Linked DNA regions of Mus musculus: all the other regions are reported to be linked to region 4. The links are microRNA targets in miRTarBase. Many come from high-throughput screens and were not tested one by one. Region 4 holds a microRNA gene; each other region holds the end of a gene's coding sequence.
The links. Region 4 holds the annotated microRNA mmu-miR-1198-5p (UAUGUGUUCCUGGCUGGCUUGG, at 1,761-1,782, opposite strand). A microRNA usually pairs through its seed, bases 2 to 8, with sites in the 3' UTR of a target mRNA and lowers its output. Matches are read on the target gene's strand: a 7mer-m8 pairs with bases 2 to 8, a 7mer-A1 pairs with bases 2 to 7 and ends in A, and an 8mer does both.

Region 1: the mRNA of Sike1 is a reported target of mmu-miR-1198-5p. Seed matches in the 3' UTR shown: 7mer-A1 at 2,751-2,757 and 7mer-A1 at 2,711-2,717.
Region 2: the mRNA of Nat8f2 is a reported target of mmu-miR-1198-5p. Seed matches in the 3' UTR shown: 7mer-A1 at 2,023-2,029.
Region 3: the mRNA of Il18r1 is a reported target of mmu-miR-1198-5p. Seed matches in the 3' UTR shown: 7mer-A1 at 2,370-2,376, 7mer-A1 at 2,342-2,348, 7mer-A1 at 2,324-2,330, 8mer at 2,288-2,295 and 7mer-A1 at 2,266-2,272.
Region 5: the mRNA of Socs2 is a reported target of mmu-miR-1198-5p. Seed matches in the 3' UTR shown: 7mer-m8 at 538-544.
Region 6: miRTarBase lists Ints8 as a target of mmu-miR-1198-5p. The part of its 3' UTR that is shown has no 7-base or 8-base seed match.

What each region holds. Positions count from the first base shown.
Region 1 is chr3:103,001,288-103,005,395 of GRCm38, reverse strand. Sike1 (suppressor of IKBKE 1) reads right to left here. Exons shown (of 5, transcript NM_025679.3): 5 at 1,482-3,688. The coding sequence ends at 3,587. Among named protein-coding and RNA genes, the nearest start is that of Sike1, 7.6 kb to the right of the region's middle.
Region 2 is chr6:85,864,036-85,868,143 of GRCm38, reverse strand. It overlaps Nat8f2 (N-acetyltransferase 8 (GCN5-related) family member 2), which reads left to right. Exons shown (of 3, transcript NM_053096.3): 3 at 1-2,722. The coding sequence ends at 482. Among named protein-coding and RNA genes, the nearest start is that of Nat8f2, 3.0 kb to the left of the region's middle.
Region 3 is chr1:40,498,332-40,502,437 of GRCm38, reverse strand. Il18r1 (interleukin 18 receptor 1) reads right to left here. Exons shown (of 11, transcript NM_008365.2): 11 at 1,584-4,100. The coding sequence ends at 3,748. Among named protein-coding and RNA genes, the nearest start is that of Il18rap, 15 kb to the left of the region's middle.
Region 4 is chrX:7,804,816-7,808,923 of GRCm38, reverse strand. Mir1198 (microRNA 1198) reads right to left here and starts at 1,823; the gene lies at 1,703-1,823. All of the region lies in intron 14 of Gripap1 (GRIP1 associated protein 1), which reads right to left.
Region 5 is chr10:95,409,149-95,413,148 of GRCm38, reverse strand. It overlaps Socs2 (suppressor of cytokine signaling 2), which reads left to right. Exons shown (of 3, transcript NM_007706.4): 3 at 39-1,659. The coding sequence ends at 496. Among named protein-coding and RNA genes, the nearest start is that of Gm33230, 3.0 kb to the left of the region's middle.
Region 6 is chr4:11,200,610-11,204,703 of GRCm38, reverse strand. Ints8 (integrator complex subunit 8) reads left to right here. Exons shown (of 27, transcript NM_001159595.1): 27 at 121-1,776. The coding sequence ends at 237. Ccne2 (cyclin E2) reads right to left here. Exons shown (of 12, transcript NM_001282943.1): 10 at 3,288-3,399; 11 at 2,357-2,514; 12 at 1-1,719. The coding sequence ends at 1,606. Among named protein-coding and RNA genes, the nearest start is that of Ccne2, 11 kb to the right of the region's middle.

The DNA of each region.
Region 1 (4,108 bases), not on the chromosome of region 4:
CAGTCAGTAAAGAAATAACAGTGTCCACTACAGCTCATTTTCTTAGTGACTCAACGTAGGCATCCCTGCAGCTAATAATTTTAATTTGTTAAAAATTATATTTACGGTAAAATGCCTTACTGTAACAATCAGGCCTTACTGTTTTCTCAGTATGATTTCTCTTTGCTAAGAGGATACTGATTTTATTTGGCACGGCTGTGTACCTAGCTTCCTTTGCAATTAGACATGTCTATTTAATAAGTGAGGCAGATATGGAGAGAACTCCATTAGAATTTCTGGAAACGTTTGCTTTCCCCATGTGTCTGTAGTGTAGGGCAGGCAGTTTTCTATTTTTTCCCTGTCTTCCACATGGGCATGACATCTGACACAGCAGTAGCCTATAACAAGATAACAGCATCACAGACGGAGCCAACGTGGAAAAAGGCACCCTGTGCAGAAATGCACCCTTCCCTCCACACTGAGGACCACTCACAGGCACAGCATTCTAGGGACCATGCAGCAGCGTGAACTAAACAGAAGTCACGGTATTCACAACACACAGGCCATAGTGTCTCTCTTACCCTGTTAATTAACCTGTTGACTGACTTTGCCGATCAAGATCCATGAACTCCACAGTTATGTGCATTTAAAGGTGCCTTAACTTGGTCCTTAAGAAATGTGCTGAAGAGTGCCTGAGTGTGATTCTTGGCTCCACTTTGGACAAATTAGAACCTTCTAGTATGTATGGAACTGTAAAGAACTGAAGCGGGGATGCTGTGTCAGCTGACACAGAAAACCCCTTAGTATAAGGAAGTAACCATTGCAGGACCCCCTGGACTTCGATTCTGCAGCTGTTTTCTATGTTTTCTCCTAGCACCACCCCTCCCCCACCCCCTTCCCTGGTCAACTTTTAGATTCTCAAATAACACAGCCCTTTCTGTGCTGTATCCTACACTTACATCTGATGTAACACACTGCATCAAAATTATCTGCACAACATTTTGTTTAGTTTTTTGAGACAGGGTCTCTTGTAGCCCAGGCTGGTTTTGAATTTACTATGTAGCCAAGAATGACCTTGGATTTCTGCTCTTCCTGCTTCTGCTCCAAATTCTGGGATTACAGGCATGTGCCACCATGCCCAATTTATCTGCTGCTATCGGGCAGGCAGCATAGAGGGGAATAGCGCTGCTATATCCCACCCCTCTGTAATATCCCTTTACCACTCTTCTCATTTTAAAGTCGGTTTGTTTTTAACTCCTAGTGAAATAATTTGCACAGAACATCATACACAATTTATCTGTTTGTGTGTTGTAGGTCAGAAGGTAATTTTTAGAAGTTGGTTCTCTCCTTCCCTCATGTGGGTTCTGAGGAATTGAACTCAGGCCATCTGACTTCATGGTAAGCACTTAGACCTGCTGAGCCATCTCCTAGCCCTAACAGACATGTTCTTAAACCGGTACTGCCGTTTTCTGGAATGATTATTAAGATGTAAATTCCAGATTCCATCCATAAATTTCTATTTCATTAGGTGCATTTTAAGAAACATGGAAATAGACTTCAGTGGTAAATTATACATTCAGGACTTCTGCAATGAATAGGTTGTTAATGTGCTTTTCAAAGGTTTATACTGCTGAATATATTGAATAATTGCAAGCTGCTTATGACATCTATGTCATGAACACTTGCCATGGTTGCTATGTATGTGAATATGTGAAAAAAATCTCCTATACTTCTTTTTGCTTTTTTCAAGACAGGGTCTCCCTGTGTAGTCTCCTGGGACTCACTAGGTAAACCTGCATGTCCTCGAATTCAAGAGATGTGCCTCTGCCTTCCAAGTGCTGGGATTGCAGGTGTACATCGCCACTGCTCAGCTAAACTTCCTTTTTTTTTCCAGCTCAACTTCTTAGACTCATTTCTCAGTAAAATGAGCAAATCTTCTCAAAAAGGTTTTTATTAGTTAATATAATTTCATACTAAAATTTTATACACTAAATACTTCCACCCATTGCAAGAGATATTAGCATCTTCACACAAGTGTGAAACATTCTTTCTCCATTCAATGTGCTAGCTCTGCAATGCCTTCACAGCACTAACACCAGGCAGAATTTATACGACACAGGGCACCGAAAGCTTGCTCTACCCTCAGGACTGCAATGGAGAGATTCCTCTGAAAGCTAGATGCAAAGACCTTTGTAGTGAGTGCTACGGGAACAGAAGGCAGATAAAGAAAGGGACACCATGCTCACTGCTGAAATAGACTGACTGATAATGCTCTCACTGTGATGGGACCTGCTGTGACAGCTGACAAGTGGTAAAGGAACCCACCCCTGAATGGGTTTGTGGAGTACACACTTGGGGCCCTTAGGGGAAACATCAAGGGGAGCAGCTGGAGTGAAAGTTAACATGGGAACAAAAACCAAAGTCCATCTGGGCAAACAGTGCAAAAGGAATTATTTATAAACCTGACATATGAGCAAACCAAGATGAGAAGGAACTGACAGGGAGCTATTAGAATCTCAGGTTGTTCTTGATTGCCTGAATGCATGGCATCAGGAATGTGGTAACTTTCTGTGAGTAATAAAATGCTTCCATGAGAAAACCCAGCAGATGGAAAGACAGCAAAGTACTGATGCCGGTCTAAACCATCCCAGTGGTGCTGCTCTGCACAGCACAGCACAGCACAGCTGTGTGTCCATGAAAGTGCCTAGGAGCTAGGAACCTGTGAGTGAGGTATGTGTGTGTGTGTGTGTGTGTGTGTGTGTGTGTGTGTGTATGTGTATGTCTCATACAAGGCAACTACCTAAGCCGAAGACTCCTTAGGCAGACAGAATGGAAAACTACTTGGTCAAATAAATAAAAGCTATTTTTGGCATTTAAGTCCAATGTACATGTACAGTCATGTACATCTAATAGCTCCCTGTGCATGATGGGGCAGGCCCAAGTTCCTCAGCACTCTCTGAATGACTGTGGATCCTTGAGGAGGAGGAGGAGCAACGCGAACCCGGCTTACTTGTTTTCAAGCGTATTTCCTGGGGACTAATAGATTCTCTCAAATTAAGAGCAAAGACACCTGACCACAAAGTGCCAACTCCTAGCACCGGAGAGGATCAAACCCCATGGATGAGCGACGTCACTCAGAGACTCTGCCAATCTGCTTCTTTGAAGTCATGCTACTTTTACAAGTGGAAGAAAAAAAAAATCTAGGTTTACACCAAATATGTATTTTTAAAAAGTTAAATCTTTGAAAAACTCTTAGAAGGAATTTTTATAATCCTATATAAAATAAAATCCTGGCTTATAATAAAAGTGTTCAGTGTTTCCAAGCTGTGAAAAACAACATTGAACTGCAGGTAACAGTTTATAGAGATTCCGGACTAGAGTGACAAATGTCATCTCTGTCCCAGCAATGGGGGACTTGTCTAGTTTCACTAGTACACCCCAAACTAGTTAGTGGACAATGAATACCAAGTGGCAATTCTAAACTGCCACCCCATACCTCTACCCAACACTAAGTCAAGTCTGCGGCAGGACTCTTGGACACGGCAGGAGAGGAGGGCACGGCTTCTCGCTCTGACGGGCAAGCTGTAGCCAGCCTTCGGAAGTCCAGTTACTTGATGGTCTGAGAGGCAGGAGCCACAGAGCTTTCTTTTCCAACCTGCAGAGATTCACTGCTGATGGACAGTAACTCTCGAAGTTCCTTATTTTCAAGCTGGGGAGAAAAGATATTTCCTGTGTTTTAATTGTTAAACTATGTCAGAACATACTATTTTGGCCCAGAAAGAGGAAAAAAAAATTTTTTTTTGGCTTTTCTTTTTTAAGATTTATTTATTATTATACATAAGTACACTGTAGCTGTCTTCAGATGTGCCAGAAGAGGGCATCAGATCTCATTATGGGTGGTTGTGAGCCACCATGTGGTTGCTGGAATTTGAACTCAGGACCTTCGGAAGAGCGGTCAAGTGCTCCTATCTGCTGAGCCATCTCACCAGCCCTTTTTTTGGTTTTTCGAGACAGGGTTTCTCTGTATAGCCCTGGCTGTCCTGGAACTCACTCTGTAGACCAGGTTGGCCTTGAACTCAGAAATCCACCTGCCTCTGCCTTTCAAGTGCTGGGATTAAAGGTGTGCGTC
Region 2 (4,108 bases), not on the chromosome of region 4:
GGATTTCTTGCAGAAATTATGTGGCTAAAAGTTTGCAGGCAGATCTTGCTGACATCACCAAGTCTTACCTGAATGCACATGGCTCCTTCTGGGTGGCTGAGTCTGGAGACCAGGTAGTTGGCATGGTGGGTGCTCAGCCAGTCAAGGACCCTCCATTAGGGAAGAAGCAGATGCAGCTCTTTCGCCTGTCTGTGTCCTCACAGCATCGAGGACAGGGAATAGCAAAGGCACTGGTCAGAACTGTCCTCCAGTTTGCTCGGGACCAGGGTTACAGTGATGTTGTCCTTGAGACTGGCAGTGTGCAACATAGTGCTCAGGCTCTCTACCAGGCCATGGGCTTCCAGAAGACAGGCCAGTACTTTGTCAGTATAAGCAAGAAGTTAATGGGTCTTTCTATTCTTCAATTCTCTTACTCTCTCCCTTTTGCTTCAGGACCAGGGTATAGTGGGAAATATTTAAAAAAAGGTCCCATTCCATGCTAGCACCAGGTACTCTCTGGCCCCAGTGGTCTCACTGCCTCCATGGCTTGTCCTATGTAGCAACTGCCCATCTTGAGGATCTCTTGCTGGGGATTGTAACCTGGTAAAATCAAAAGTCTAGAGGCTTGTGATTTATCAGTCAGATTTAAATTAATAAATTCTCAACCCACAAAATGTCCCCACAATGAATTCAAAACTCAATTGAAATAAACTGAGGCTACACACCTAGATGGGGCAAACATACCCTATTTATTATTTAATCATCTATCCAATAAATTCCCAATATATATGGCTCCCAGGACTGTGTGCTTCTGGCTTCTCATCCTCTCCTATAGTTTTGATTTTGTCTCCTGCCCTGTGTCTCTTCTTCTCTCTAATATTTCCTGTTACACAAAGGATGTGATCCTTTTTTGATTTGTGTGTCCAGAAGGCTTCAGTTCACTCTGCTCTAGGAACAAGCCACTCCTGGCAGTTTCCCAGTACCAATCCCAAGGGCTCCCTTTGCACTCCTTTCAGATGCAGCCATGCTGGTGGTGACCTGTGGGTGTTGGCTCCATTCTGCCTTTTTAAGTATCTCTCTTTCGTCTTTCTAGTGCCATGATAAGATAGCACAAAACCCAACTGAGTCCATCCTGCACACAGTTCACTTAGGAATCTGTTAGCTGTCAGTATCAGCTAGGTGGTCTCAAGACTTCAAGGCAAGCAACCTTGCTGAGCTGAAGTTCCAGCAGCTCACAGGATTTAAATCTAAGACTTGTGTAGAAATGGAGCCTCCACTGGTAGAGGCACAGCACAGATCAGGGTGGCTGCACTGAGAGCACTGGAGCAACGAAGCCTGTAACTTACACCTAAGCCACCTCTGTGCAGAGGGAGGAAGGGGACCTCTGATGCAGTGAGAGTAACTTTGAATGGCCTCTCCTGGTGGAATGATCCCTCCTGGCCTCTTGGTCCCAGTCTTATGGGAAAGCACAATTAAATGCATGAAATGTACTTGGGGATTCATGAAGATGAAATGGGATCAGGAATTGTATGAATATGTCACCCTAGGGAAAATGCCTGGACCAACTGGCACTCGAGTAGGTTGGACATCAGTGGGCTTCCAGTGCTCCTGGATTTCCTCTGTAAAAAGTTAAAATGGCAGTTCAGGAGTTGGAACAGCACTGTAGAGTGGAGAAAGGCAGTCTCAGAACTAATAAAGTTGTTGGCTGAAGATGACCCTGCTAGGCATAAGAGACTTCCAGAATTGTTAAGGAAAGGCCCAGAGGGACATCAAATCACAGATGTGGTTTCCACTGCTTTTGGTTGCATGTTGGAACTGGAGAACTCCTTGCTGAGGACATGACCTGTTTGGTTTCAGGACACAGAAGAATCAACAGAGAGTGACCTGGAACAGCCTTGTGTGCTCGCTGGGTTTCTAGTGCCAAGAGGCTCGATCCAGGCTGCTGAGGGACAATTGTAGAGACAGTCTTGCTCCCTGTGCTGTGTTGTTACTTGCCGGGAAGATGTATGTTGTAGTGTTATAGTGGCATTGTTATGTTTGCACACACATACTTTCTGATTAAGGCCTCCATAGGTGGATATTCCCATTGATTATTCTAAATCAAGACAAAATTATGTGATGTGCAGGCCACAGGCCATAGTAAGAAGACTAGTACTATTGTTTTAGTTTTTATTAAGCAGATATAAACTTTTATCAGCTTGCCTTCATTTCTTTTTATGCCCAATGACTGCTGTACCAGCATCACTTGTAAAGGGAGCCTTTTTCACAGTGAGAGGTAGTCACTCCAGAGACTCATAATTTCCCTGATTGCTGAGCATAACTGACTGATCCTTTGATATAATCCGATATTGGGTCATAAATGGAAGAAAATGGATATACACAAACACACACACACACACACACACACATCACCTGCTCCAAGGCTTGGAAGAGTTATGGAAGCGGATGCATAAAGATTTAAGATCTGGAGTGGGTGGGATACCCTGTATCTCTCTGGTCTGAATTGAAACTTCCCCTTTTAGGGGGCTGACAGAGGCCCAGGAGACTCTGGAGAGCGTTCCTCTCTGATGTCACCCAGGCAGTAAACATTTATCAGCAGAGAGAAGCCTCTTAGGAACCCCAGGGTTGGAGGTTTGTAAGTCATTACCAATGCAATGGCCATACTGCCTGGGCAACCCGTGCTCCTGTAAGTAATCCCTCAGCTGTGCTCCTGTGCTCCAATAAACTGTTTCATCAAACTTGACTCGGGTGGATCTGTGTTTGGTTGCTTGGTTACTTAGTTGCTTGGGTCTGTCATAGTGCCTGGATGATGAGAATAGATGTTCATTCACATTCCCAGGGAAAGTCAGACACAAAACACCCAAAACCAGATGGTTTTACTCATTTTGTACCCACTTGGGAGGGAAGCCAAATGACAGGAACAGAAAGGCCAAGCAAGTCCAGGGTGGAAAGACTGCCAAAGTGGGCAATCAGCATGTCCTTGGCACCTGGGCGAGCTGTGTGACCCTTCACCTCCTTACTGGAATCTCTCCTGCTCAGGGACTTGGCTCCTGGACACAGCCTTAGCACTCTGCTGGACCTCCTTGCCAATGCCCCGCTCCTTCCTCTACAGGCATAGGAGCAGCCCAGCGACAGCAAAAATTGCTGGCAGCATCCAAACATGCCACACTAATAGCCATTGACATCCTCCCACTCTCTCCCCCCCCCCCCGCCATTATCATTACAATCTCAGCAACTGCACTTTCAGCTAAGAGGAAAGGGTGACCCTTTGTCCTTTGTATTCTGTCTGTCATGGAGAGTTATTTCTATGCCTCATGTCATGTGTTCCCCTCAAGGGTAACACTAGCTGCCATGTTACCTGATGAATAGAAGGGGGAACATGGAGCTTTTTACACCAGAAAGACCAGTACCAGCACATAAATGTCCACCCTAACACAGGGTCTTATCCAAGTGCCATTTACCCATCTCCAGGAGGAAGGGAGCAAACATTCATCAGTGGCCTAGTACCAATTCTTCATAAGTTAGTAGTGCTTCCCCATCTCCTCCTGAAGGATGCAAAGACAGAGCCCATGCTGTGCTGATGGCTGCCTGTATCTGTGGATGGGATTGGCATCACTCAGTCAGCGCGGCTAATACAAGAAGGAAGATGCACTGGAGTTGGGACGTCTACACAATAAATAGGAAATTGTGCCAGGAGCTCTGAGCCAAGCTGCTCAGAGTTAACCTGGGAAAATGGAGGTGGCCAGAGTTTCAGGAGACAGAAACAGGAAGCAGTGTCTGCTGGGGATGCTTGGGATTTGATAAATATGGTTATGCACAACACTTTTGCTGGAGCAATGGCCACTAAGTCTTACAGTGTAACCATCGGTTAAGCTCATGTTGTATACCTTTCATCTAAAAAAAAAAAAAAAAAGACAAAGGAAAGAGAATTGTTTGGAAAAGAATAAACTCAAATGCTCAAATGCTGATTTCCAAGGTTAGAAAGAGCAAACTGTGGGTGGAGTTTTTGTAATAATGGAGTGACTGTGGCCAGAGCCAGTGGCTGGACCACTTTGACTCTGACTGAACTAATGAACTAATGAATTTTACTGTGGGTTACTTCCAGGAATGCCGGTGAGAGGGTACTTAC
Region 3 (4,106 bases), not on the chromosome of region 4:
ACAGCACAAGAGCCCACTGACATGTTCATTATCCGTTACTGAGCACACACACACACCAGGTCGTAACAATTACATATATAAGCTAGGAGTGGCATTCTCTGAGTTTATATGTCTCCCACCAGAAACATAGTAGTTGGCTGGAAGCTCCCAGCCTGGGCTCTGACTGCTATTTCTGTGGCACACGGATGCAGTAGAAAGGGGCCCTGTCCTTCCCACAGAACACACATAGACCGTTTCCTGTTAGCTCTGTGGCTTGGTCACTCTGAAGAGCCTCCTTCCCCCAGCCCCGCTGCACTGTGCTAGAGATCACACACGCATGGAAGTTCCTTCTTGAAAATATGATTTTCCCTAGCTTTCATTTCTTCTTCAGAGCCACACTTCAGGAGCCGGTAGCTCCTGAGATCCTTCCCAGCAGCCTCCACCCACACTCACACTTCAGTGAGTCCCTTGGCTGCCTTGTCACTGATCGTCGCCTCTCTAGTCTTCCCTCCATGTATCTTGGGGATACTATGTAGAGTCATGTCTCACTTAGGAAATGCTTTCATCTGGCTTTGTCTTTTTACCCCAAGCTGAATGGCGTATAAGGAGCCCTGAACAACCCCTTGCTCTTTCCCTATTCTGAGCCACGCCTAATGCCATTAGTGGCCTGAGTGTTTGCTGTAACCAACCACATCCAGCTTGTACTTGAGGATGTTCTTGTGCAATCACAGGAGGGAAGTCATACCTGATATTATCAACATGGTCACAAGGCCAAGGCTAGCATAGCACGTAGGGTGGGACCAACTATTGTTAAGTTGCTAAGTGCCAATATTGTCAAAACTCCTTTTAAGTGTCTATGTTTATGCCTGTGGACCTTGGCTTCTCTCAGCCTTGATTAAAAAAGCTTTCTCTTTTTTTTTTCGGTGAGTGGCAGTCAATGCAAAGAAAGACTCGTAACAGATCAAAGTTCTGAGAGCAAGTGAATCTGAGTGCTCAGCCCTGATTAGACATCTTTGTTAGCTCCACCTTGCCTCCTGCCAAAGCTCAGGGGCCATCCTGGAAGAGGAGGCAGGAAGAATGGGAGAGCTGGAGATTGCACAGCAGCACAAGACCAAACCAGCCAACACTGCAGCATCCATGGGAAAGATGTCATGAGGTTTCTGGCTCTAACTGTTGGCAGATGATAGCTGCTGGGGGAGATAGAATCGGTCTTCTTTGTAATTGTGGTTCCTAGTTAGTGTGTGCATGTTCTAGTGGGTGGCCCCATGCTGCATCTACAGGAAACACTAACTGGACTTAGGTTATTTCAAAACTGAGGGCGATAATTACGTGGGGTACATGTTGGGGAGAGGTGGCAAGAGAGAATGGGTGTGGGTATAATATTTCACTGTATAAAATATGACGTTCTTAAAGAGTAAATTTTTCAAAAATATACACACAGGATTTTAAAGCGATAGTTGCAGATGGGCTGTATTAAATTTCCCTCAGCTCCTTACAGCAGGTGGGGATCCATGGTGAAAACCAGGCAGTGCAGTGTTCACCAAAACAAAGGAAAAGGATGTCAAGAAACCTCAGGACAAATGAAAAGGACATCAAGAGACATCTCCAGTCTAATGTATGTATTTGGCAGATTTAATACAAAATATATTTCATATAAAATAAACTTCATGTGTCGAAGCTTGGCTGATAGAAGAACAAAGCGAAGTCTCAAACTCTCCCAACTCTCTTCTGATGCTAGGTTTTCACACACAGCTGTTGTGACAGCAGATGTTGAATGAATTTACCTTCTTTTCTCAAGTCAGTCAAATAGCACATGAAGTCATGAGTTACAAAAATTACTTAAGAATCCCCATTCTTCTTGTTTTTTTTTCTGTTTCCTTTCCTTTCATTTGGTTTGGTTTGGTTTTCCTAAAATCTACTGTGTTTGTTCAGCACAGTCTCTGCTCTAGACTTCCCTAGAATATTCTTGCTTCACTCAGGCACTTGCAAGGTCACAAGAAGCTTTGGGCTTCTCTGAATCTTCTTTTTTATGCAAGGGTAGCATACACCTACACACACACAGACAGACAGACACACACACACACACACACACACACACACACACACACACATGGGAGCGGGGGGCAATTCCCACAGACAGCTACTGTTTTGAACCATGGAGGAGGCCCCAGTGTGACAACTCTCTTTAGAGAAACAAAAGTATCTTCCAGTGCCGAGAGATGCATATTTCAGCAGGAGGTGTTGTGTGTGTGTGTGTGTGTGTGTGTGTGTGTGTGTGTGTGTGTGTATGTGTGTGTATGTATGTTTGTATGTGTTTCTGTGTGTGCGGTTCTATGTTTGTGTTTATGTGTGTTTCTGTTTGTATGTGTGTTTTTGTATGTATGTATGTTTATGTGTGTATGCTTATGTATATTGTGTTTCTTCTACTGCTATGTTTCTCCTCTGCCCTCTCCACTTGTTGCTCCTATTTGTAGACCCATTTCCCAACCTGCTCTCTGGCTCCCATTCCCTCTACTGTGGAATCACTGAGCCAATGAATGAGAGCAGTTACTGCCATCAACAATAAGAGCCATGTTTACAGAGTAGTCTTTAGTGCCCTTGGGAACTAGCTGTATTTACTTTAAACTCTGATTTTAGAAATGAGTAAACTGAAGTATGAGAAGTTGGATAAAATTCCAGAGCTCACAAAATCCAAGATTGTCCATCAAATTTGGCTGCACATACCACACCGTCAACTGCCACACCAAAACTGCCTGCATGCCCAGGGCACCAGAATTGGCTCATAAAAACAGCAAGCATTTGTTGATTGTTTGCTACAGTTTAGCAGCTAGTATGATCCTACAGATAAACATTTACACAAAGCCAACAAAAACTTAAAGCCACTAAAGTTGAAAGGCCCACTGAGTTCTCTGAATTTAAACTTCTGTCTGCAATAAACGATATCGCAGGTTCCATTTCAAAGGATGTACGAAAAGGTTGAAGAAACAAGGAAGTCCTGCTTGACGTCTGACTGACTTTCTAAGAACTACCTTGCAACACCAAACTCATCCTGAAGCCAAGTTCCTGGAGCTTTCTCTCATCCCATTTCTCTTGTGTTTCCAGCTTTTTCTCTCACCTCTTGCACCTCCCAAGCCTGGGAGAGAGCCATGTACCCTTGAGATGCAGTAAAGATTGGCTCATAGAAAATGCCTCGGAGCGCATAAAATTCTCCAGTTGGAATCCACTGTTAGTTGAAAAATTCTGAAGAGGTGCCTTATTTAGGGGCATAAATCAGTTTGCCAGCCTACCTCCATCTTGGCTGAATGGAACGGTATGCAGACAGCTCTAGGCCAGCGGTTCTCAACCTTCCTAATGCTTCAACCCTTTAATACAGTTCTTCACACTGTGGTGAAACCCCCAACCATAAAACTTTTTTCGTTGCTACTTTGTAACTGTGAGTTGGCTACAGTTATGAATCATAGCGTACATCTATTTTGGAGATAAAGGTTTGCCAAAGGGGCCACAACCCACAGGTTGGGAATCACTGCTCCAGAGGAAGAAAGAATAACAAACTGATTTCTTGTGAATCCCAAGGCCCCCTCTGCGAGTTCAGGATCACAACCAAGGCTCTGTTTCATCTGTGATGACCCGATGACAACTCTCCTAACTGGGAGTGGGGGGTATAGTCACAAAATTCAGCCTTTTGAACCACAGCTACCGCTGTGAATAGGCACACGCATGACCTCTAGCAGCGCTTCACTTGCTTTTGACATCAAGCTCGTCTGGAGCTCAAGGTGCTGAGAGAACAGACCGCGCCTCCGACTCCTCTCTCCATGGCTTGACGGCTTTTGCGGGCATCAGGTAAACAAGATTCTTCCAGAACCTTGAGTTCATGGAGGGACTGTCAGCCCTCCATTTTAGAACTCTGTAGGACTTCAGGAGTTTCAGCGACGGGGGGAGAAAGGTGATGTTGCTGGCTGGAGTAAACTCAATTAAGATGATCTTAATCTTCCTCTCTACCAGTGCTTCGTGGAGTCCACTCTCGAGCTCACGCCTGGCTCCGTTAGTCAGGTAACTCTGGCTGAGAACGATGATTAGCCTCCGGCTTTTCTCTATCAGTGAATGGATCTCCTCGACAACAGCTGGAA
Region 4 (4,108 bases):
GTGCGTCTGAAGACAGATACTGTGCTCATTTATGTATACATACATAAAATAAATTAAAAGAAAAAGAAAAGAAAAACTTTCCAGGTTTGCGTTTCACCAGTCTGTTATAATATCAGAATGCCAGGGTCAACAAAACTAGTGTGCATACTCTGTAATGATTTTCCACACATTGTGCCACTGTAGTGACACACAACAGTTTTGGCCACCATGGACTAATGGTACTCTATTTCAGATCGCCTCAAAGATGGGTATGTTGGAAAGAGTAACCAATTTTATTTTTCCCTGTTTGGTCCTCTTCAGAGTGTGCTCGTCTCCTAGCATGCACTTTCTGCTCTTCCTAACCAACTGGAGACTGGAGTTGAGCGACCCCAGAGCCTTTTCATCCTCTTTCCAGCCACTGCTCTTCTGCCTGAAGTGCAGGACAGCCCCCAACCAAGGGCAGCTGCACAGAGGATTGAGACCCACAACGCTTTTCTTTTTTTTTTTTTCTTTCTTTTTGTTTTGTTTTGAGTCAGGATCTCTCTATGTAACCCTTGTTGTCCTGGAACTTATGGAGACCAGGGGGGCCTCAACCTCGCAGAGATCTGCTGGTGCTGGGATTAAAGGCATGCACCACCACCACATCTAGCCCCAGTGTTCTTTTTTGAGACTGAGTCTTGATTCCTTAATGGAAAGAATCCTACCTCAGTTTCCCAAGTAGCTAGGAATAGCATCACTGGGCACAGCTCAGGTGGTTAATCTGTATCTAGAATTGTTAAGTATAACTTAAGTCTTTATTATTATGATTTCTTTGTTTTTAAACATTGTCAGCCACCATCCACTTTTTTTTAAAGATTTATTTATTTATATGAGTACACTGTAGCTGTCTTCAGACACACCAGAAGAGGGCATCAGATCCCATTACAGATGGTTGTGGGCCACCATGTGGTTGCTGGGAATTGAACAAAGGGCCTCTGGAAGAGCAGTTAGTGCTCCTAACCACTGAGCCATCTCTCCAGCCCTTATTAACGATTTCTTTGTTTTGAGAGAGGGTCCCCCTATGTATCTTTGGCTCAAGCTCAAGGAGATCTCTGTGCCTCCATCTCTTTGGAATAAAGACCACCTGTTATGACTGTTTTGGTTTGATTTTATTTTTTTAAACCAAGCTGGCCTCAAAATCACAATCCTCCTAAGGTTTTTATTTTAATTTTTATTTATCTATTTATTTTACATGCACAGGTGTTTTGCCTGCATGTATGTCTGTGTCCCACATGCATGCCTGGTGCCTGTGGAGGCCAGAGGAGGGCATCAGATGCCCCAGAATTGGAGTTCAGACAGTTGTGAGCTGCCAGGTGGGCACTGAGAACTGAATCCCGGTTCTCTGGAAGAGCAGCCAGTGCTCTTAACTGCGGAGGCACCTCTCCAGCCCTGTGTGAGCTTTCTGAGTGCTGGGATTACAGGCAGGAACCACCAGAGTCAGCAGAACATGTTCTCAAAAGAAAGGAAGGTTCTCCTTACTACTATTCCCTGTTCCCTTTCCTCCTTCCTTCCTTCCACATACGATGTAAATATGAAAGTGAAACAGTTTCAACAACTGTTCCTGGAAGCAAAACACAGGTCCGTGTCAAAGGCTGGAAAATAGCAAGAACCGAGGTCCCTGGTGATTGGAGATCCATAATTCAGAACAGATGTGGAGGCTCAAACCTATAGTAGCAGCTCTTAGGAGACTGAGACAGGATGACTGCCATGAGTTAGAGGCTAGCTTGGGCTACACATGAGTACCAAGCCAGCCAGGAACACATAACAGACAACTGTCACAAACAAAATAAACAAAAGAAAAAAAAGAATCCACCATCATTGCTATCATTAATCCCTGAACAGCCTACTTGGTCCATCCTCCTCTCACTTTTGACTTCATTTCCTTCAGCCAAGGTCTCTCACTAAATCTGTCGCTCACAGTTTTTGGATAATCTGGCTAGCCTCCAAGCCCCAACTACCCTGGCATCACCTTGCCACCTTCCCAGCATGGGACTTACAGGCATACTTCTCCCATGGTGCTGGATTCTGAACTCAGGTCTTCATGCTTGCTCTTGTTACTAAGTGCTCTTGCCCACTGAACCATCTCTCCACCTGTGCCCCACCCCCACCCCCTGTGCACCTTGATACAAGTCTCCTATGTAGCCCAGACTGGTCTCCATCTTCCTATGTAGCTAGGATTGCCACGCACAGTCCGCTGAAATCTGCTTGGCAGGCCGAGAGGCCTGGAAGCGCTCACGAGGCAAAGAGTTTCATGGAAACTCACCTCCTGGAGTTTTGGTGTTCTCATTAAACCCATATACTCATACCCTATTTCCGCGTTAGTCTGGTGTATGGATCCACATGCTCTCTTTTAGTATTATCTTATTATAAGTGCCTTTTAAGATTGAATTCTGACATAGCTAAGCCTTCGCCAGTGTTCCAACATCCTAGAAAGTCCTTGAGCTGACCATGGGCTTGGAATTTAGTAAGAATGTTGCCTATTCAGTGATATTGAGAATTGCCTCTGGTATTACACTATCACTTAGAATAAAAGCCAAGTTGCTCCCATATGCAGGAATTTACAATGGTTTAGGAAGTAGATCAGGCTGTGGTTTTAGAGTATTGCATTATTCATGAGATGGTTAGCTAGATCGGAACTCCCTAATCAGAACCATGACTTATGTGTGAAAGCCCTTGCCCTAGGAGTGAAAAGATCTCACACCTGGCTCCTAAAACTATAGCTGACCTTAGATAGAGCTGACTTTGTCTCAGTTATTTTATTGCCCAGTTCCTGCCAGTCTTTGTGTTTACATTCCTCTGTTTTGTGTAAGAGTCATTAAGCATCCGGTAACCTCATTTGTACCTTGCCCATGTGTCACCTAACTTCCCTATTTTCTTCTGTATAAAAAGTTTGATGCGCAATTTGACAAATTACATTCAGATTCTACACAACCTCTTGTGTTTCGTCTGTCTGTCATTCATTCGCCCACTCTTTGCCCACCTGCCCCAGAGACTCGTTCCACGCAGACAAAGGGACCCAGAGGGTCTGTGGCATAGGATGACTTTGAACTTCTTTTTTGTTTTTTTTTTGGTTTTTTGCTTTGTTTTTGTTTTGTTTTTTCAAGACAGGGTTTCTCTGTGTAGTCCTGGCTGTCCTGGAACTCACTCTGTAGACCAGGCTGGCCTCGAACTCAGAAATCCACCTGCCTCTACCTCCTGAGTGCTGGGATTAAAGGCGTGCGCCACCACACCCAGCTGACTTTGAACTTCTGATCCTCCTTATTCTGTTATGTGTGTGTGATCCTAAGAACTGAGATCACAACATAAATATCACAGAGCCTGGTTTATGCAGTGCTTTGAACTAAGCCCAGGGCTTTGTGATATTATACAAGTACTCTGTTAACTAAGCTGTATCACCAGCACTAAACCTTTGTGTGTGTGTGGGTGTGGGTGTGTGTGTGTGTGTGTGTGTGTGTGACAGAGAGACAGACAGACAGACAGACAGGGTCTTATTATGTAGCCATTTCTGTCCTGGAATTCACTACATAGACCAAGCTAGCCTCGAACTCAGAGATCTGCCTCTTAAGTGCGGGCATTTAAAGGCTTGTGCTGCTATGTTTAGCCCCAAATTTCTTTCTTAATCCAGTATTATTCTAGTTTCTCCAGGCTAAGCATCCTTCATCCTAAAACCTAAAATCTAAAACGTTTTTTGTTTCTTTCAGACAAGGTCTTACTATGTAGCCTTGGATGGCCTAGTATTCACTATGCAACCAATACTGGCTTACAGCATATGGGAATCCTCCTGCCTCAGGTACCCGAGTGCTAGGATTATAGGCATACCCCAGTATATCTGGCTTAAAATCTGATTTTTTTTGAGTTAGCACATAAAGCCACATATGGGAATTCCACACCTGACCACCAATGCACACCTTTGATCTCAGCAGTCGGGTGGTAGAGACAGGTGGATTTCTGTGAGTTCAAGACCAGCCTGGTGTACAGAGCAAATACTAGGACAGCTAAGGTTGCAGAGAGCTCTACTTCATCTCAAAAAAGGCAGGAGCACTAAAAATATTTTATAAAATTACCTTCATGCTATATGTATAAGGTATGT
Region 5 (4,000 bases), not on the chromosome of region 4:
CTTTCTCTTCTTTTTCTTTTTTGAATGAAAAACCCCAGGATGGTACTGGGGAAGTATGACTGTTAATGAAGCCAAAGAGAAATTAAAAGAGGCTCCAGAAGGAACTTTCTTGATTAGAGATAGTTCGCATTCAGACTACCTACTAACTATATCCGTTAAGACGTCAGCTGGACCGACTAACCTGCGGATTGAGTACCAAGATGGGAAATTCAGATTGGATTCTATCATATGTGTCAAGTCCAAGCTTAAACAGTTTGACAGTGTGGTTCATCTGATTGACTACTATGTCCAGATGTGCAAGGATAAACGGACAGGCCCAGAAGCCCCACGGAATGGGACTGTTCACCTGTACCTGACCAAACCTCTGTATACATCAGCACCCACTCTGCAGCATTTCTGTCGACTCGCCATTAACAAATGTACCGGTACGATCTGGGGACTGCCTTTACCAACAAGACTAAAAGATTACTTGGAAGAATATAAATTCCAGGTATAAGTATTTCTCTCTCTTTTTCGTTTTTTTTTAAAAAAAAAAAAAACACATGCCTCATATAGACTATCTCCGAATGCAGCTATGTGAAAGAGAACCCAGAGGCCCTCCTCTGGATAACTGCGCAGAATTCTCTCTTAAGGACAGTTGGGCTCAGTCTAACTTAAAGGTGTGAAGATGTAGCTAGGTATTTTAAAGTTCCCCTTAGGTAGTTTTAGCTGAATGATGCTTTCTTTCCTATGGCTGCTCAAGATCAAATGGCCCTTTTAAATGAAACAAAACAAAACAAAACAAAACAAAACAAAAACAAAATGTCCCAAGGAAAGGCAAGAGAATATTCCTGTCAGAATGACTTGCCTTTGTTTTTTGGGTTCCTATGCACTGGGTCAAAAGTCCAAGCTCCATAGGAGAGAAAGAAAGGCTTCCATTTCCAGGAGGACAGCTGAAGGAGGGAAAGACCCTGGCTGACCCAGGCTTCAGCTCCACTTCTAGACGCCTGGGGTTCAGTCTGTGTTAGAACCTGTTATAGTTTGCATCCTGATGTATCTAGTAGGAGTTCCGTTAAGCTGACCATGCTTGTATTTATCCCTCGTCTTATGCAACTAATCAAATCAACCAAAAAAAGGAAAAAAAAAAAAAAAAAAGAAACGAAAAAAGAACCATCACCATGAGATCCTGTATTTGTCTTTTTTTACTACACGTATGACCTCCCCCGTGAGTGAGTACTGTAGTCCTCCATCTCAAGGCAGCCTTACTTCAGACACATTTCAAACTGGTGCAAACAGAAAAGACTTCTCTCTTTTCTTCTGAGGCTAAAGACAAGAATGTCACGCTATACAGGTGCAACTCAATCCTTGAAAACAGAAACCAATGCAGACAGAGACATTTTACCCCTTGATGTAGCTGTGAGTCCCAACCTAGTGCCATTGTTTTTATTTTTATTTTTATTTTTGGAAATGGCTTTAGAACTTTCCAAGTTATCCTTGAATTGTCTGACCACGGACATCAACAGCTGCCTCCCTTCTACCATGTAGAATCCTATGACTTAACTTTTCTTCCAGATATAGAGGGGTACCTGCCTGTTTTTCAAAGTGTTTATTTACTGCTGTTACTATTTGATTAGAATGTATCAAATAAAAACAAACCTGACTTTTACAAGTTGCACTCATTACTTTGAGTTGTAGGTGTACATTTCCATGCTAATAAAAGGTCGCCATAAAAACTCATTATCAAGTGAAATAAACTAAGCAATCAGCTCAGGGTAGAACATTAACTCGCTTGCCTCCAAATAAGGCCCACACCTGCTCTATGTGTTTTAGAAAGCATGGTTCACAGGCTAGGAATCGTCAAGACAGCCTGATCATGTGCAGGCCGGATGGGCACAATCCTTGTGCATTTCAAAAGCAATGGTTTAGAAGCGATAAAAGTTACGTCAGGGTCTAAACTCTAACAAGTTCCGCAGCCGCTTTCTCTTGGCCACCCAGTCTCACGACTGCTGTAGCATGCCATCTTCTCTAGAGTCTAGACACTATGCCTCTTGCCGCCCTGTACATGTTTCCTGGCCGGGCCGTAGGTTCCTGTGTGTCCAGGGTGAAAGGAGAACCTGGGGCGTCATGTGCACGCTCTAAGTGAATAGGAAATTATAAAAGTGCAGAATAATAGAACTGACTTACCTTGCAGGGTTTGAAGTCCCCAGTTTTACACCAGGAAGGAAACATTAAGTTTATCCAACCTGGATGGATTGCTGGGTGTGGCTTGGGAAGAGCCTGCTTCGCTCTGCTGGGTGGTGGGGCAATACTAGGCTTCCCGCTAGGATACTTAGATCTCCCTTTTGCACACTGATGATGATGGTTCTCTGGTAGAACGCTTGGGCTAGCAAGGGGCTTTGTGGAATCCTTTTCAGGTCTCCCTGCTGTTCCTCAGGTATTGGGAGTGAGGAGGCAGTCAGAAGACCCTGTGCCTGTGGAGTTATGACAAGCTCCCGAGTGTTGCGTTCAGCGCCTGCAGGTGTGTGTGTATTGGGAGCCCAGATTCACTGCTTGGGGCTGTGATATGGATCACCTTATCTAACTCTAGTCCTGATGGCAAGGAAGTTGATAGGCATCAGGGGACAGTTTTGTTTTGTTTTTGTTTTCTTGCTTTATAGTTTTTAATATATTTACTGAGTTCCTTGTGTGCCAGCCTCTGACTCAATACTTCATAATATCTCATTTGATCCTCGGAAGGACCAAAAGAGCAAAGTCCAGGATTTATGGGAAGTGAATAGTTCCACACTGATCCAGTTAACAAGTTAGAGCAGGCTGTAATAGCAGTCTTTTTGCTGCGGCCTCAACCAGACTAGTGCAGATACTGTAATTAGTGTTGCGTCCTCTCTCGCTTTAAAAACATTTTCAAGAAGTGGTTTCTTGGTGCATGTGTGTATGTGTATGCATGTGCCATGTCATATATGTGGGAGGTGTGGCACAGCTTCTCCGTTCTTGCCTCTCGCTGCGTGGGCTCCAGGGATTGGACCTCAGTCTTTACCGACAAGCACCCTTACCCATTGAGACATCTTGTCAGCCCTCCAGTCAGTCTGGCCAATGGCTTTTTTTTTTTTGAAGATCCCTGAAATAAGTGGTAAAGTGGGGGTGGGGAGGGAGTTTGTCCCCTTCCTGGGTGACTACTAAATGATGCCAGGTATCACTGACTGTCCCATCTAACAACAGAAACAAAACTGGATTCACCCAAGGTGTCCTCAACAGAGGCTGGAAAATTTCTCTTTCACTGTTGTTTTTCTATGGGGGGTGGTGTGAAGCATTAGTAAGGACATTTATTATTGAGATTCTAATTGTTGCTGTTCTTGTGGCCTGTCCTGTGCTCTGTCGCAGGATTTGTGTATCCACCCCCGACTTCAGTGACTGCTATGAGTTTCTGTTCAGAGGACGCAGAGGTGAAGGAGCGTATGTCATCCCATCTAAAGTTACCAACACAGATAACAGATGTAATGACATCTGCTTTCTTTTTAGAAACAGGGACCCCCAGTTTGTGTGCGCTTGGAGGTCTTGCTTAGTGTTATTAGTATGAAGGTTTTGACTTCATCGTAATTACATCATTCAAATAGGTGACAGAAAGGGACTGTTGGTTGTTCCACACGGTTTATTTTCTTGGGAAGCCTTTCTTTCCCCTGCTTTTAGAAAATTGTACCCTGCTTGGCGGAGGGTAGGAGACAGACACGTCATCAAGTAATCCAAGGGATGGAATGTCCCGAGAGCAGACTATGCCCTTCTGGTTGTGGGTTTGGGCACAGGGCAGGAGGGGGCTGTGGCTCTAACAGCTGGGCCGAAGCCTCACTGGCTCCCAGAAGTCCTGTCCATCTTCTAGACCTCTACCCAGAATGTGGCTCTGGGCCTGTCATTCCCTCAGAGGCTCTGCGTTCTCCTCATCCAGTTGTTAACTCCCTAGAATCCTGGAGTCCGGAACACACTGTTTGGGTCACTCAGCCCAGGTCCTTTATAGGAACCAGAACATTTC
Region 6 (4,094 bases), not on the chromosome of region 4:
TGTGATGCCATTTTTTTCTGTAGTTTTTAATTTGATTTAGTTAACTTTAACTTTGAGTTATGTGTACTACTGTGACAATTTTTTTCAGTCAAACTTCTAATAACACTTTTCTGTTTTAAGATCAAAGCCATTGGCCAAACAGAATTGAATGCAAGCAACCCTGAAGAAGTATTACAGCTGGCAGCACAGAGAAGGAAAAAGAAGTTTCTACAAGCAATGGCAAAACTTTACTTTTAAGCAGTTAGTTAATTTTTTTTCAATTTTATTTTTTAAACAGTGGGCTAAAAGTAAACAGTATTAAAAGATTAAGTTTATATAATACATATGTACAATTTAGTGGTGTTTTCTTTTTAGACCAAAACAAACTGAAACAAATTAGTTTATAAACAAATTATACAAAAACTTCATATCTTAACAATAGTTTATAATTTCTTCAAAGAGAGACAAGGTTCATGCCTGGTACCATTTTTTTTCTAATGAAATTAACTTTTTTAGGCCCAAATTTCCTTTTCAAAGGCTAACTTAAAATATTTAATGTATAAGTAGCTATTCTATATACAGCAAGTTTAAATAAATAAATTTCTAGGAGTAAGTATACATTTAATATTTTCTGCCATAAGAAAATAGTTTAGGTCATATGTTAAAGTTTTTTCATGTTGACACAGTCCTCATCTCATAATATGGGGCTTAAAAATGGACCACCAGTTTTGCAAACATAAAGCGCCTTAGAGATATCTTAGTGTGCAATAAAGTGACTTTCTTATATAGTTTGAAAAAGTGTTTAATTTTACCCAAATTGTGATACACAAAAAGATTATAAAGCAACCTTTCTATCAAGTAAAACCCCCGAGTAGAAGAAGCCAAAGCATTTATATCTTGTTTATAATTTCTTTGGTTCTCCCATTTAGAGCACAGTTTAAACATTTGGTTCAGTGCCTTACTGATTAAGAAATATGGCAAGGCAGACAAACTAGTTCAAAACAGATTGAACTTTACCATTCATAAAATTCAAGTTTTATCGTTTGTTACAAACTGCTTTAGATAAATTAGTCACTTTATTACAAAACAACCTTTGTAAATAAGCTTAAAATTTATTTTCAAAAACAAATTGCACCATTCAAGAGTATAGGAATTTAAGAATATAAAATCTAGATTCAAAGTTCTGTGTCAGCTAATGTATCCTTTAAGGTAGCACTAGTTTAGTCCATATTCCAATGATAAAATTCCTAGTTCATCAAAAGAAATACAGTAACACTGAATTTTAAAGAAACACAGTAACAAACAGAAACAACTGCTATAGCTTAAATTGTTGGCTTCCATCCACTATCCTTGGGAGTGAAGTCACCTTTGTAAACAAGTTCTCTTTTATAGGAAATACTTCTTTAGTGCCAATTTTTTGAAGTTTTTGTTTTGTTTCCTTTTGTAGTGCTGGGGATTGAACCCAGGATTTTGTGCATCCTAGGCATTTAGTGCCAAATTGATATAGTTTTTAAGTAAAAGAATGGCAGTGTAACTCCTTAGACAAGGATAGTTACAGCACTACTTTTCTGTAAAACTCATTTATATGAAACTATCCATTATTTGTTCAATTCCAGGTTGTTAACTTCAGTGTTTTCCTGGTGGTTTTTCAGTACTCTTTGGTGGTGTCATAATGCCTCCATTACACACTGGTGACAGCTGCCCTCCTTTTCTGTAGATGTTCACATAGTTTACTTCATTCTGTACATGTGAAGAAATTATTCAGTAATTAACAGTTAAGATAAACTAAGTATGTAGTAATACCAGACCTCTACCAATTTTTTCTATCCAAACTTAATTTTAGAGTCTCTATCTTTGTTGGGGGCTGGGGGGTGGTACATACCTTTAATCTTAGCACTTGAGAGGCAGAGGGATCCCCGAGTTAGAGATCAGCCTTGTTTATTTCAACAAAACTTTCTAATTTCTTATCTGGGCTGCTGGTCTTGATTTTAAGCTGCTTAACAGTAATATTTTTCTTGAGATAGGGTCTTACTATGTGGCCTGGGAACTTATGATCCTCCTGCCTCAGCCTCCCTAGTACTAGTTAGTGTGCATCCTAGGCCCTTATCATCAAGTCTGCCTTAATTTAGTTATCTCCCTTATATTTTAAGTCAACATGGTCATTACTTTCCCATTTATCATCTTAAATAACTGTCTTAAGTAGTAATGCACAGTAGTTTCAGACCTTAGATAAACTTTGCTAACTTCTACCCCATTAGTTTCAGGACTTAACTAAATAGCACGATTTTTAAAAACAATGAAAGATAAGGCAGCAAAAAAAAAAAAAAAAAAAAAAAAAAACAACCTCCCATAAAACACATAAAACAAAAAACCATACCAGCAAAGCCAAATAATTTGTGTGTGTCTGGATATTGTGTCTATCTTCCATGGGTATCTTCTTAAAAGTCTTCAGCTTCACTGGACTCACACTTTTTACAACACTAACAAAAGGCACCATCCAGTCTACACATTCCGAGATGTCATCCCATTCCAAACCTAGATTTAAAAAGTTAATACAATGTTAATCAAACTGTTCCTTACATGACGTTAAAGCTGAAAAGAATTAATAGTTTTCTCAAGGGTCATTCTGTAGCACAGGTTGGCTTCCCTCTTGATTTGGCCTCAGTGCTGGGATTATAGGATTTGCTACTCATCTGACTCTCTTGAGGGTAGGTGTTTTTTGTTCTTGTTTTTTGCTTAAAGATTTATATTTATGTGAATGTGTATACATGTACACAAGTGCCCAGAGATCAGAAGAGTGTTAGATATTCTGGAGCTAGAACAAGATATGAGGGCTAGGAAACAAACCTGGGTCTTCTCCAAGAACAGTATGTGCTTTAAACCACTGATCCATTTTTCCAGGCTCACTTCTAAGCTTTTAAACCAGTTTCTATTCATACAAATTAAAATTGTGGTATTTGATTTCCACTTGGCTGGGAATTTATTTTCTTTTATGACTATGGAAATACACTAAGGGTTAAGTACTTTTAGCAAAATAAAAATCAACTAAATTGTTTTATTTTGTGTTTGGTAAGGTATTAAGGTATCTGTAGTTCCATTAAAAGTTGTGAACAGCCGGGTGTGGCGGCGCACGCCTTTAATCCCAGCACTCGGGAGGCAGAGGCAGGTGAATTTCTGAGTTTGAGGCCAGCCTGGTCTACAGAGTGAGTTCCAGGACAGCAGGGCTACACAGAGAAATCCTGTCTCAAAAAACCAAAAACCAAAAAAAAAAGTTGTGAACAGGTACAAAGTCAACAAAATAGTCTTACCTGAAGCTTTCTTAACCACTTCAATGGAGGTAAAATGACATAAGGCGGCAGCAGCCAGAATTCTGTATTGAAATTCTAAAGAGTCGATGGCTAGAATGCACAGATCTAAAAGCTAACAAGGAAAAAAAAAAAGGTAATTTAAGAGAAACATAAATGAGTCCCTATTTTATATATAACTATAAAGTAAATAAGCTACCATCCAGACTCAGAATTGCAGGAAAGGGAGTAAGTTCTAGGAGCACAGTGATAATGTTAGAAGGGTGAGCACTTCATCTAGATTGGAAAAAGCTTGTGAGGGCTTTTGAATTAGGTAACGGGCTAGGCCAGAAAATTGGTGAGAGAGAATGTTTGAAACAGAACGTTGCCAAAGGTAATAATTCTCATGAAATAATAAGCAAGGAAAACCTTTGTTCCTTATCCAAGGTGGGCAGTGGAAAGCAAGGAAATCTAGTAGCTTTGTTACATCATACAGGACCTTTACAAGTTGGAGCACTACTACTTAAGCCCACTGTGGGATTTTAAATCAGCAGTTTCATTTTTAAAAGGACGCAGTAAACTAGACAGACTAGGATGCAACATTTTATTTTATTTTATTTTGGTTTTTCGAGACAGGGTTTCTCTGTGTAGCCCTAGCTGTCCTGGAACTCACTCTGTAGACCAGGCTGGCCTCGAACTCAGAAATCCACCTGCCTCTGCCTCTGCCTCTGCCTCCTGAGTGCTGGGATTAAAGTCATGCGCCACCACGCCCGGCTTAGAATGCAACATTCTTAGCAACTAGCTAGGTAAGTGGTGTATTATCTTGGTAAT